Schizosaccharomyces pombe: one gene and its partner. The protein of the gene in region 2 interacts with the protein of the main gene of each other region in a pairwise test. Each region holds a gene or a part of one and is shown on either strand. Other genes may lie near its edges. The genes, in order: spo7 and spo13.

Region 1 (7,449 bases), on a different chromosome or scaffold from region 2:
AAGCCTACCAAAGAGTTTTGCCTTGTTAAAAATCGTTGATGACCTTTCCAGCGGAGCTTTAGCTTCATAATTTGGGATTTCTTGTCCAACTCTGCGAATTCCGCTTTTCACCAGGCGTTGGAATGTAGAACTTCTAGCAATCTAAAATTGATTAGTACGTATATCTATTAAGATGAAGTCGTTTTATACCCTTGATGCGACGTAGGTGGAAAGTAACTCTACTATAATTCGTTGAATCATACAAAGTCAATAATAATTTAAAGGTAGAAGAATAATTATGAGTACGTTTTATCAATAGTGATTCTTTAAATATCGGGCAATTGTTAAACGCCTGCACAAAAGACGCGATATGTGCTCAGGTTATGTTAACCGTTAGCGCCCTCCATTGCGACGTGACTTTGCAAAGAAGGATTATGTAGAGTTTTATCTAAGCGAGAAAAAATTAATCAGAAATTAATGCTTAAAACAGTATTATAAATCAACGAAGGTGAAATATAAAAGTACTGCAATTTCTTTCTGTTTCTATAATTGCTTTATTCCTTATTAATTGCATACACCTCTACTCATATTGTTTTATTTCAAAATAGGTGAAACTTGGACTTTAGCATTCTGGTAGCTATAGCATGTATCCAAGTTCTCGCAAGCTGTTTGATTAAGTATCTAAGTAAAGTTACTATTGTAAGTTTAAAGCTAAAATGAGCGGTAACCAACGTAGTTATTCAGTTTCAACGAGCGCGTATTAAGGCATTTGAAATAATCCCATCGAAGCATATATTGCAATAATGAAATATTCTATAACTGGATGTTATCAGAAGTTTAAGCATAAAAAAATAATAAAATGACAAAAGATTTGTCAAATCTAAATAAAATCAAAATACTTTATTTGGAACTCTCGACAACTATTAACCCTCTTCTTCAGAAGCTAAAAAAAAGATATCTAAGTAGCATTCTCTCAATCGGAGGCCTAATGTCTTTTCATCACTCAAGTTTATTTATTCGTTTAACTACTTTGAATGAAATTTAATTTTATAATCCTTTAAAATCATAAGGATATCTTACAGGAGATAAAGTTGGGTAGAAATCATGGGATTTCCGATATTCGTACTCGCATTCCAAAACTCGCTGGTACTCTTTGTACATCATTGATCGTTCATATAGAAACTTCATCTTTCTATTCCAATTATCCATTGCTTTGAGGTAATTTTTAGATCCGGCGGCAAAACATTTCTCCATTTTTTCAGGCAAAGACTGGAAAAGAAGGCAGGTTTCCAGTAAAGAAGGAACACAATCTCGTAAAATATGAACCTTATCACGCAGTGGACGAGGAATGTCTTGTAATCCTTGAATGTCCATTGGACTCCACCGTGTTAATTGAGCCAGGTCACCGACAAAGGTCTTGGTTCCATCAGCAGCAGTATAATAAGCCTTTTTCTCAGCTCTTGTTAAAATGTACCCCCAACCATATTCAGTGTTTGTAATATTTTCTGGTAGAGGAGGGCAAGTAATCATGGCTGCATTAAAATTTAAAGAATGAATCCATTCGTTCATCGCTAATACGCTGGGCGCTTCAAAAAGATAGCACTCATTTCCTGGAATATTTAGATAAAAGACATTATTGCGATTAGAATTAATTGATGGAGGTAAATTGGGAGATGCCAAGCAAGATTGCAAGCCAAATTCTCTATGGATGGGGCTAACATTTGAGCAAGCATTTGGATCTAAATGATCTGACTTATAAAAGATTAGTTTTCCACTATCGACAATACAGTACTTTTTCTTCCAATAACCTGCTACCCATCTATTGTTTTTGCTTAAAACCATTTTCTTATATGAAATCATGCCTCGTCGGTGCCATGGTAACCTGTTATGAGTCTTTTCTTCTTGCATATGATGAGTGTAATTAAACACCGAAAAATGTGGTCTACCATCTATAACTGATGGTTCAGGAAGATCAATCTCCTTTCCTGCGTAAATTCCTCCATTCTCTTCATTCAAAACAAACGAAGATTCCTTAAAAGCATCACTTTCAAGACTCGTGCTGTTTTTGTTTCCAGAACTCTCCTGCTTTAGTAATTTTGAACTTTTCATTAATTCAGATATCAGAGATGATCGATTCCTTTTGGGAGTCAAATCACCTCTTACTTGGTTGTGCAACTGTGCTTGCACGGCATTTGGTACTGCAAATGGAGACTTCAGAAACGTATCATAATATTCTTTTAGCATGCATTCAAGTATGAAACCGATATCGCTTGGTAAATTGCTCCACGTTGAGAAAAGCAATTTGGCAAACGTTGATCGGTTCTTCTTATATTTGAGCCAATGCTTTTTGTCCTCCTTCGACAAAATACAAACTGAATCTGGAGATATGAGAGGACGAAGTTTCTCGAGAGCATATTTCACAAAAGTTTCCATCGGAACGACATAAGAATTGAGCTTTTTAGAATAGGTTGATTTATGTAAATCAATTAAAATCAATACTATTTTAACAATAATGTCTTCATTTAAAAACCCATAATTACTATTTTGCTTAAGCCAACAAGATGCGAAGACTTGCAAAATAGGAGAGTGTATGTAATCATCCGAGCCATAGTAAAGATCACAGCATAATTTTTGAAAGGAAGCGTAAACATTTAAACTTGAAAAGTCATAGTGTGATATGAATTTTACATACACATTTTCATATTCAGATCCCAAACTAGCAAACCAATCTGTAAAATTGTACGACAATAGCTGCTTCTCTAGCAAATTCCGTAAGCAATTGGATAAATTAATGGGGTCCTTAAACTCTGAATTGTGACATACCTCGAACAATTTCAGTTGAGAACGGTCGTGTAAATTCAAAATAGTTAAAAGTGATCGTGGAACTTTAATTCTTGGATTGTTTTTAAATTCCAAAGAATTGGGAGTTGCTATTTCTTCGGAATTGAGATCACTCTTGCTATCACTTATAAGCAAAAACTCTTCTTTAAACTTTGAAGCGCTCAGACCTTCGTTAGCAAACGTTTCATCTTCATAATCTTGTAGGAACGTTTCCTGAATATCCATAGTTTTGACATCTGGATTCACAAAAACTTTTTCGCCAACCTGCTGACTATTTATGCGTGAATTGCGTAAATTGCGCATCTTGCGAATTTCTTCAGCTGCGTTTTCATGGTGAACTGACTGAGACTTAATCTGACTTTGCAATTGTTGAATATAGCTACGTTCATCATGACTAAGATGCTCTCGGTCATCCAATAGTAATTTTGAAATTGAAACTAGACCTTCGGGGGTTTTGGGTGAAGAAAACCGATTTTCACGCAACATTATTTCGTTTGTAATACCAACCTCCGAAAGCACTGAATAATACGCAACCAACGATTGTTTTAAGCAAGAAATCTGCTTTAGTGGTATTCTTTGGAATCTTGAATAAACTAACGCAAATTGGTGTTCCGCGATGTCTAAAGGGTATTTCCTGAGCAAAAGTTTTGCTAATTTGCAAAAATATAGGCGGTCAGAAAGATTTTCAAGTAAATACATTTTGGGATCAGCATTAGCAAGCTCATTTTTAGTGTTAAGTTTCGATACCTGTATACGACTATTGATTTTGTGTTCAGTAGCGTTCAAAGTTCTTGGATGAGGGTTCAACTCTAAATTTTTTTCCATTTTTATGCTCGGGTGTACATTACCATTTCCAGCTAGACACGCTCTCTCAATTTTTGAAATAACTTTCTCTGATGGATTAACTACCTTAGATATGCTGGAATGGGATGTCGGTTCAACATTGTTTATCGATTGTGGCATGTAAATATTTCCTAGTTGTTTGGCTAGTTGTTTAACATGACCCTTGGGAGGAGCCTCAGATGTCGGTGCCTTTGTTGTAGGAGCCTTTGTTGTAGGAGACTCTGCTGCAGCCAATGCTTGTGGTTGTACTGAATTAGAATCTTGGTTCATTAGTAGCGCAGTCTTTTCCCTTATCACTTGCAAAAACTTCTGAGAAGTTGTCAGAACTGAATCACCGACTGACACTTTTGGTGGTACTTCCATTGAACCATTTTTAGCAGCAAATAGGTTTATAGCTTCCTTTATTCTGTTACATTTTCTGGTGGAAGCCCGATAATTAGGACCTAAATTAAAGGGATTCTCTTCTAAAGCATTTGTAGTATGCCCTTTAGATAAATTTGAAACATAGTCCCTTTTTCTATTTCTCTCCCTAGCTAGCTCGATCCTTGCTCTAACATTTTCCCCGGAATACTTCCCCTGAATCCTCCTCTTAGCAGATAAACTAATTTTTTTTGAAGGAAATATTTCCTGAGGAAAATTGGTAACGACTATCGGAGGCGGCGTTCTTTGGCGCTTTTTAGAAGATGGAAGTTCTTCTTCATAATCTTTCAAATCACGTTTTAATGAGTAAGAACCAGAGGAAGCTCGTACGCCGTTGCCGAACATGGATTGAGAAGGATGAGAGTTTACGGGTTCACTAAATATTCGTTTAGGCTGAAGGCTTAAATCAGAAAGTTCACCATTTGTTCGAGGACGCCGGGTTTTAATAAACGATTCTTTGTTGCTTAACTTGCTTTTAACGTTAAACATATGATTGTTTTCAGCCAAGATTTTCTCAGACTCCACAGAATTGGCATTGGAATTGAGAAAAGAGCGACGATGACTTATAAATTCCTGAATCTGCTTCAAGCGTGTCCTTCTCTGAGAAGATTTGTCTTCTCCAGAAATATTTTCCGTTTTGCTTTTAGCGCCTTCCGTATGCAAATTTTCTTGACAAATTATTCCCTTTGATTCCTCAAGTTTGCAAAAATCGGTTGTAACTTTAGACCGCTTCAACTTCGAAAGCAACGCTGAATGCTTTTGGCCGGAAGTATAGGTAGGCTTTGATTCTCTCACAGGACGACAAGTGATGCGACTATCATTGCACGATTCCAACTTTGCAATTTTTTCCGAAACACTTAAGCTTGTTGGGGAAGATCCTTCTGTTATTCTAAAATCCATTCTACCTTTTTCGTGGATAATTATACAATTGATTAAAAGAAATTAATAGTTATGTCGGAAGAACGCTTAAAAAATACAATATGAATATAGGAATTCTTTCAATCGGTTGATCGCGAAAGCAATTAGGATAATTATGTAAGTTTTGTAAGGACAATTATCAAAATTGTTTCCTTAAATATTTATACAAACCGTCAGTTTTGAGGGAGGTTGAGGGTAAAGGAAAAATAGGCAAAACAAATAGCTTATGTCTTAAAACACCTCATTGCATTAGACCTAGCGAACAAACTATTTGTTTACGTTTGTAAATGTCAACACACGTTGATTACATCGGGAACAACATAAACCAATAAAACGAATTTTAGGATCATTTAATAATTTCTTTGACAAAATCGAAACAATAACAACTTTAAGGGAAACCATATCCGATTATAGGAGCAACAATCTGACCTTCCCAATGCTGAAGAAAGCTAATCAGTTCTACAGCTGAAATTTATCTATAGATCGCAAAAAGAATCAAAGGGAAAATCGATATCGTTTCACAAAATGTTCCCAACTTTTTTGGACTTTTCATACGAAAGTAACTGATACGATAATAGAATGAGTTTTTATCTCATTTATGTAAAATGACTACCTTTGTTGAGTAAAATTGAGCAATTATAAATTAAGCATATTCATATTGATCCATAAAATAAAAATTTGTTGCTAACATAAAGTCAACAGCGAACCGAAGTTTGAACGTAACCACTTGGGATAAAATTTTTATTGGATCGAAATCATTTGCATGATAATGGAAATAGTTGCTATTACATTTGTTACTGTTAGCTGAGGTGTGGTGTGCTGTCGAAGCCCTTGTTTAAGACTCAATAAATTCTAGCCGGCAGCCATCTCTAATGGAGTCCAACGTGAACGATGAAATAGAAAAGGCATTTGCCAAAGATTCTGAGTTAGCAAAAGATATAATCAAACAATATGGTAAGGTTTGAGTACATGCTTTTTTCCTTAGTCTAATGAAATTAGGGAAAACAAAAAGTATACAGCCTCTAGTGCATCGAATTTGCAAGTACATCAATACATTGCAAAAGGAAAACGAATCAGGCCAAGTGAAGGAGGCTGGAAGTTTAAAACGAAAGGATCGTGTTCAACATGAGTTAGGTCAATTGGTCTATGGAGTACTTAATCTATCGTTTCAGGCACCTATGCGAAAAAAGCTAGACGTCTACATTTATGAAAATGGAATAGCAGTAACATTACCAGGCGAACCCAATTTAATTGAATTTTGGCTTCCCTGGAATGAAATTCGTTGTGCAATCCATGTCCCATGTCCAAGGAAAGCTAATGTTCAAAACAACTTTGTGATCATCCTTAAAAGTGAATCGTCGGCAGAAAATATTGTTTCAAGTGATAATGTAAAAGAACCTGTCTTTTTTACGGCACCGTATCCTTTGAAAAAGCTCAACCTCGTTGAAGGTTTACGATCCTTCACCCACTGCACGAACTCATGGGATATTTTTCGCGATTACTTTGAGTTTATTGGCACTAGTACTTTGTCTCCTTCTGTCGAAGAATTTGTTTGTCCAAACCCGCAAACGGGGGACAATGGCACGACATATGGGGTTGAAGCAAACTATAAAGCTAAAGATGGTATGCAAAGGATGAATTCTGTGTCAAAATTGCTAATCAAATAGGGCATTTATTTTTTCTGCGTACTGGCATACTATGGGGCTTCCGTAAACCTATACTTTTCATTGAACTAGCTAGCATCCAGCATTTTTCCTATAGTAATGTTTTGCAACGAACATTTACAGTTAATTTTGAAGCTGGTGGTACAATATATTCATTCGATATGGTTGATCAAAGTGTCTTTAGAGCAGTAAATGATTACGCGACAAAGCATGGACTAATGGACTCCAGTCTTGCTGAAGAAAAAGCTGCACCAGTCCCTAAAAATCCATCTGTTTCATATTTGAATGAGGCATCATCTCTTGAAAATGTTGATGATATGGATGATATTGATGTTAAAGAACCTTTATTCTCTGATAACGACGAGGATGTCGAAAACAGCGACAGCGAGGACGGTAGCGAATCTATCGGTTCAGAGGACGAAGAATAGAAAGTTGAATGTACATAAATTTTTTTCTGTTTTATTTATTACCAGTTTGTTTTAATTTAAGGATTTAAATAAATTTAAAGTCTTCTAGCAAAAGGTTATCTGTGAGCTATCCAAATTTGTTTTAGACTCAAGTTATACACAAAGTTGTCGCAGGATACATTTTTTGTTGATAGTTTAAAAAGTGTGGATCTGGACTTTGTGTGCTAATCAATAGATTTACGCTCCCACTTGTTTGAGTTTTCTCAAAAATTACCCGACCAACATGTAAATATTTTCTATAATACTAATTTATGAAAATTCCTAATTACCTTATTCGATCTGCCGCTCTTAAAAAAGGTATATAATGTAAATAGCGG
Region 2 (3,212 bases):
GCAAGGGTTGGGAAACTTTCACTTCTGCTGTCCTGCAAGTTGCGTTGAATCGGAATCGCAAGGGTCTTGTAATTTTAGCATGGGGAACTCCAGCAGCTAAGCGACTTCAAGGTCTTCCTTTGAAAGCACACTATGTACTTAGAAGTGTCCATCCTAGCCCTCTCTCTGCACATCGTGGCTTTTTTGAATGCCACCATTTCAAGAAAACCAATGAGTGGCTCGAAGAGCAGTATGGACCTGAAAAATGCATCAATTGGAGCGCTGTTTCTGAACAAAAAGCAAAAATAAAGTCTAGCGAGTTGGAATCCTCTTCAACTGAGTAGAAAAAGTCAGAAAATAATTGCTCGTTTACTGGATGCTAATAGGTCTAATCAAGCTTTTTATTTTCTTTTGTCATGCTTGCTTTATTATACCACTTGCATGCTTATCTTTATTCTACCTACAATTGGACTTGCTTAATGTGTGTTATTTTTCTATGTCTTTCTTTTCGCAGAGGATTTATTTTTTTTTTGTCTTAACATTTAAATCATTCATTTTAAAGTTTAATATTTATGTCAAATCCATCGTAAACGGCACATTTATTAAAGACTTAATGTAATCAGTGGTAATTTGATTCGTTAGAATAACTCAGTAATTTTCTGGCTTCGATTGAAGTTCGGACAGCAGTTTGGATGCTTCTTAGTTTCCCAATACGTCCTTTTTCTTTTGCCCTGAGATAGTCCAATTCTCTTTTTAATACTTCTGTATCCTGCCTTGCCTTGGCCACCATTTCGTTTGCTTCAGTGAACAGTGAAACCGATAAATCTTCCATTTCTTTCTGACTTTGCTCAAGCAATCCTTCCAACTCTTCTCTTCGTTGAACCTCTCTCGAAAGTTGTTCCTTCAAATGGGTTATTGCTAAAGTATTGGCATTGTTTAATTGTTTATTCGTGCTTTCTTTTAAAGCATTTTCATTCGAATTTTCCTTGTTAGAGATAGAGCTAAAAAGCTTTGAAATTTCTACATGTTAGAAAAAATTGTTTTATATTGTATTGTCATGTTGTCCCTTACGAGAATTGCTCATCATTGTTTCAATTTTTTTTCCTTTCCTATAAAATACTAATTGCTAACTTTTTTTTCAAAAGTACAGTGGTTTAAAGTTGTTTGCTTAGAGAAAATGTCATTTGTTGACACAGTACATATGGCTGTTAACCGTAATATAAATGACAACAAACAGGAGAAAGACTTCGTTAATGTTGAAGAATCATCCGTTTATTATTTTTATCAGTTTGCTTTGTTTCTTTTTTATTTATATTTTTTTGCGTGAATTTTATGAGCAATACATTCAATATACAATTTATGGAACATTGAATCAATTTCACTGAAGAAATAAATTTATTTTATCAATTTCATACAAAAATTTTTTTTACCCAATACAGGAAAGAATTAAGTGAGCCTCATTTCGTTTTTTACAACAAAAATTATCGAACAATAAACGAAAGAAACAAAATGTAACAATTTCTCGGTCCTTGATTTCAAATCAAGATACTTGAGCTATAAAGATGCTTTGAATTTATTATCATATTCTATATGAGCTTCAAGCATATACTTACAATTACAGAGTGCAATTCCTCATTTCATTTTCATGTCCACTGCTATTGTAACCTGCCAAAGTGTAAACAAAACATTCATTCGGGTAGGGTAGGGTTAAAATTGTAAACGAAACACTAATCTAACTAACGAGAGCTTAAAAAAATTGCTGCGAACAATAATAAATAGAAGAGGGTATAAAAACTTACAAGACAATTTTGAACCCTTGAATGCTATAAGTAACGAAAAGAAATAATGGAGGTAAAAATTAATATTTCAAAGGAAATTCGGAAATAACCTTTTCGACGGTCAACATTTAGATTGAGGAGAAGGTTTTTGACATTCACTATCGATGCCATTTCAACTGGTAAGCGCTAAAAACAAGGGTTTACGCAAAATTCTTTTTGTACCTGTGATAAATATTGTATTTCTATTGTAATAGCCAATTTTTTCATCCTATGTATCATGGAAATGTCCGGCGTAATAAACTTACAACCGCGCTGTTCCTAATTTTGTTTCATTGCTACAAAAATTAATCAAAGAAAAAAAATAAACATCCCCAAGCTTCGTAAATTTAGATTTATCGTTTCATTTGCTTGTACCAACAAGCATTCTGGCATTTGCATTATTCATTATGAAATTAATAGTGTATGCAGTGCGAATAACTAAGATAAAAAAAATTAAGAAGAAAAAAAATTAAATTAAATGATCAATTTGTAAGTTTTTCTGTTTTTTGCCATGTACAATCGCATATATTGTTTGTGCACCTTTTTTAAGTTCCTCAACTCTCATATTATTGCGTAGTACAATATTCATCGTTAAAAGAAATTCTCATGATGCGTTACCCTTCCTAGACTATTTCTTTTGTAGCAGCAGCATAAATTTACTCGCTACCAACTACTTTGTATAAAAAGCTTCTTTCTTCCAGTCGTTCTTTCTTTTCAGAAGTTCATAGAAGTAAATGGCTGGAAATAAAAGAAAGAGGAGCAATGCCTCCGAAGGCTCGGATTCCCAAGGGAATGAGAGAATTTCTTCTTTGAGTGCTAACGAGGCAACTCAAGATTTCCCTCGAGGTGGGGCGTCTTCATTGACTCCTTTAGAGTATAAAGAAGCTGTTTTAGAGGCTAAGAAGGACTTTATGGAGTCCGCTTCTGGTACCGCTGAATTGAGTAAAAAAACTCGTCCTAAGAAAAAGGGTAGTAAAAAATCTTCCAAATCCGAATTGGACAACGAAGAAAATTTGAAGGTTCATATTCAAAGCTTAAGATATAAAAATATCACACCCGGCTCTTTAATTTTAGGTCAAATTGCTCAAATAAATACGTTGGACTTGGCCGTCTCATTACCAAACTGTTTGACAGGTTATGTACCTATCACAAATATCTCCGATAAGCTTTCTGATCGTCTGGATAGTATTGACAATCATGCAGAAGATAATGCAGCAACTGAAGAGGAAGACGGTCTTAATCAAATACCGGATTTGATGGATTTGTACAAAGTTGGTCAATGGGTGCGTGTTTCTGTTACAGCCCTTGGCTCGGAAAATACTACAAAAACCGGAAAAAGACACATCGAGCTAAGTCTTAAGCCGCAAGATGCGAACGGTTCTGCTCCTGAGGCTGCGGATTTTGTTGCTGGGTCGA

Evidence for each region.
Region 1: the proteins of spo13 (region 2) and spo7 interact in a two-hybrid assay, tested with the Schizosaccharomyces pombe proteins (one study listed by BioGRID).

The regions. Positions count from the first base shown.
Region 1 is NC_003424.3:3,246,132-3,253,580, reverse strand, and holds spo7 (ArfGEF Spo7), read right to left. Parts: upstream 5,823-7,449; 5' UTR 4,984-5,822; coding exon 1,027-4,983; 3' UTR 700-1,026; downstream 1-699. Other genes in the region: pcd1 (coenzyme A diphosphatase), read right to left, coding at 1-68; histone H3.3 H4 heterotetramer chaperone Rtt106, read left to right, coding at 5,874-5,955, 6,001-6,624, 6,669-7,093. UniProt on the Schizosaccharomyces pombe protein: Appears to have a role in sporulation.
Region 2 is NC_003421.2:603,807-607,018, forward strand, and holds spo13 (protein Spo13), read right to left. Parts: upstream 1,150-3,212; 5' UTR 1,067-1,149; coding exon 1,051-1,066; exon of another isoform or gene 1,000-1,050; coding exon 599-999; 3' UTR 560-598; downstream 1-559. Other genes in the region: uracil DNA N-glycosylase Ung1, read left to right, coding at 1-323; U3 snoRNP-associated protein Rrp5, read left to right, coding at 2,531-3,212.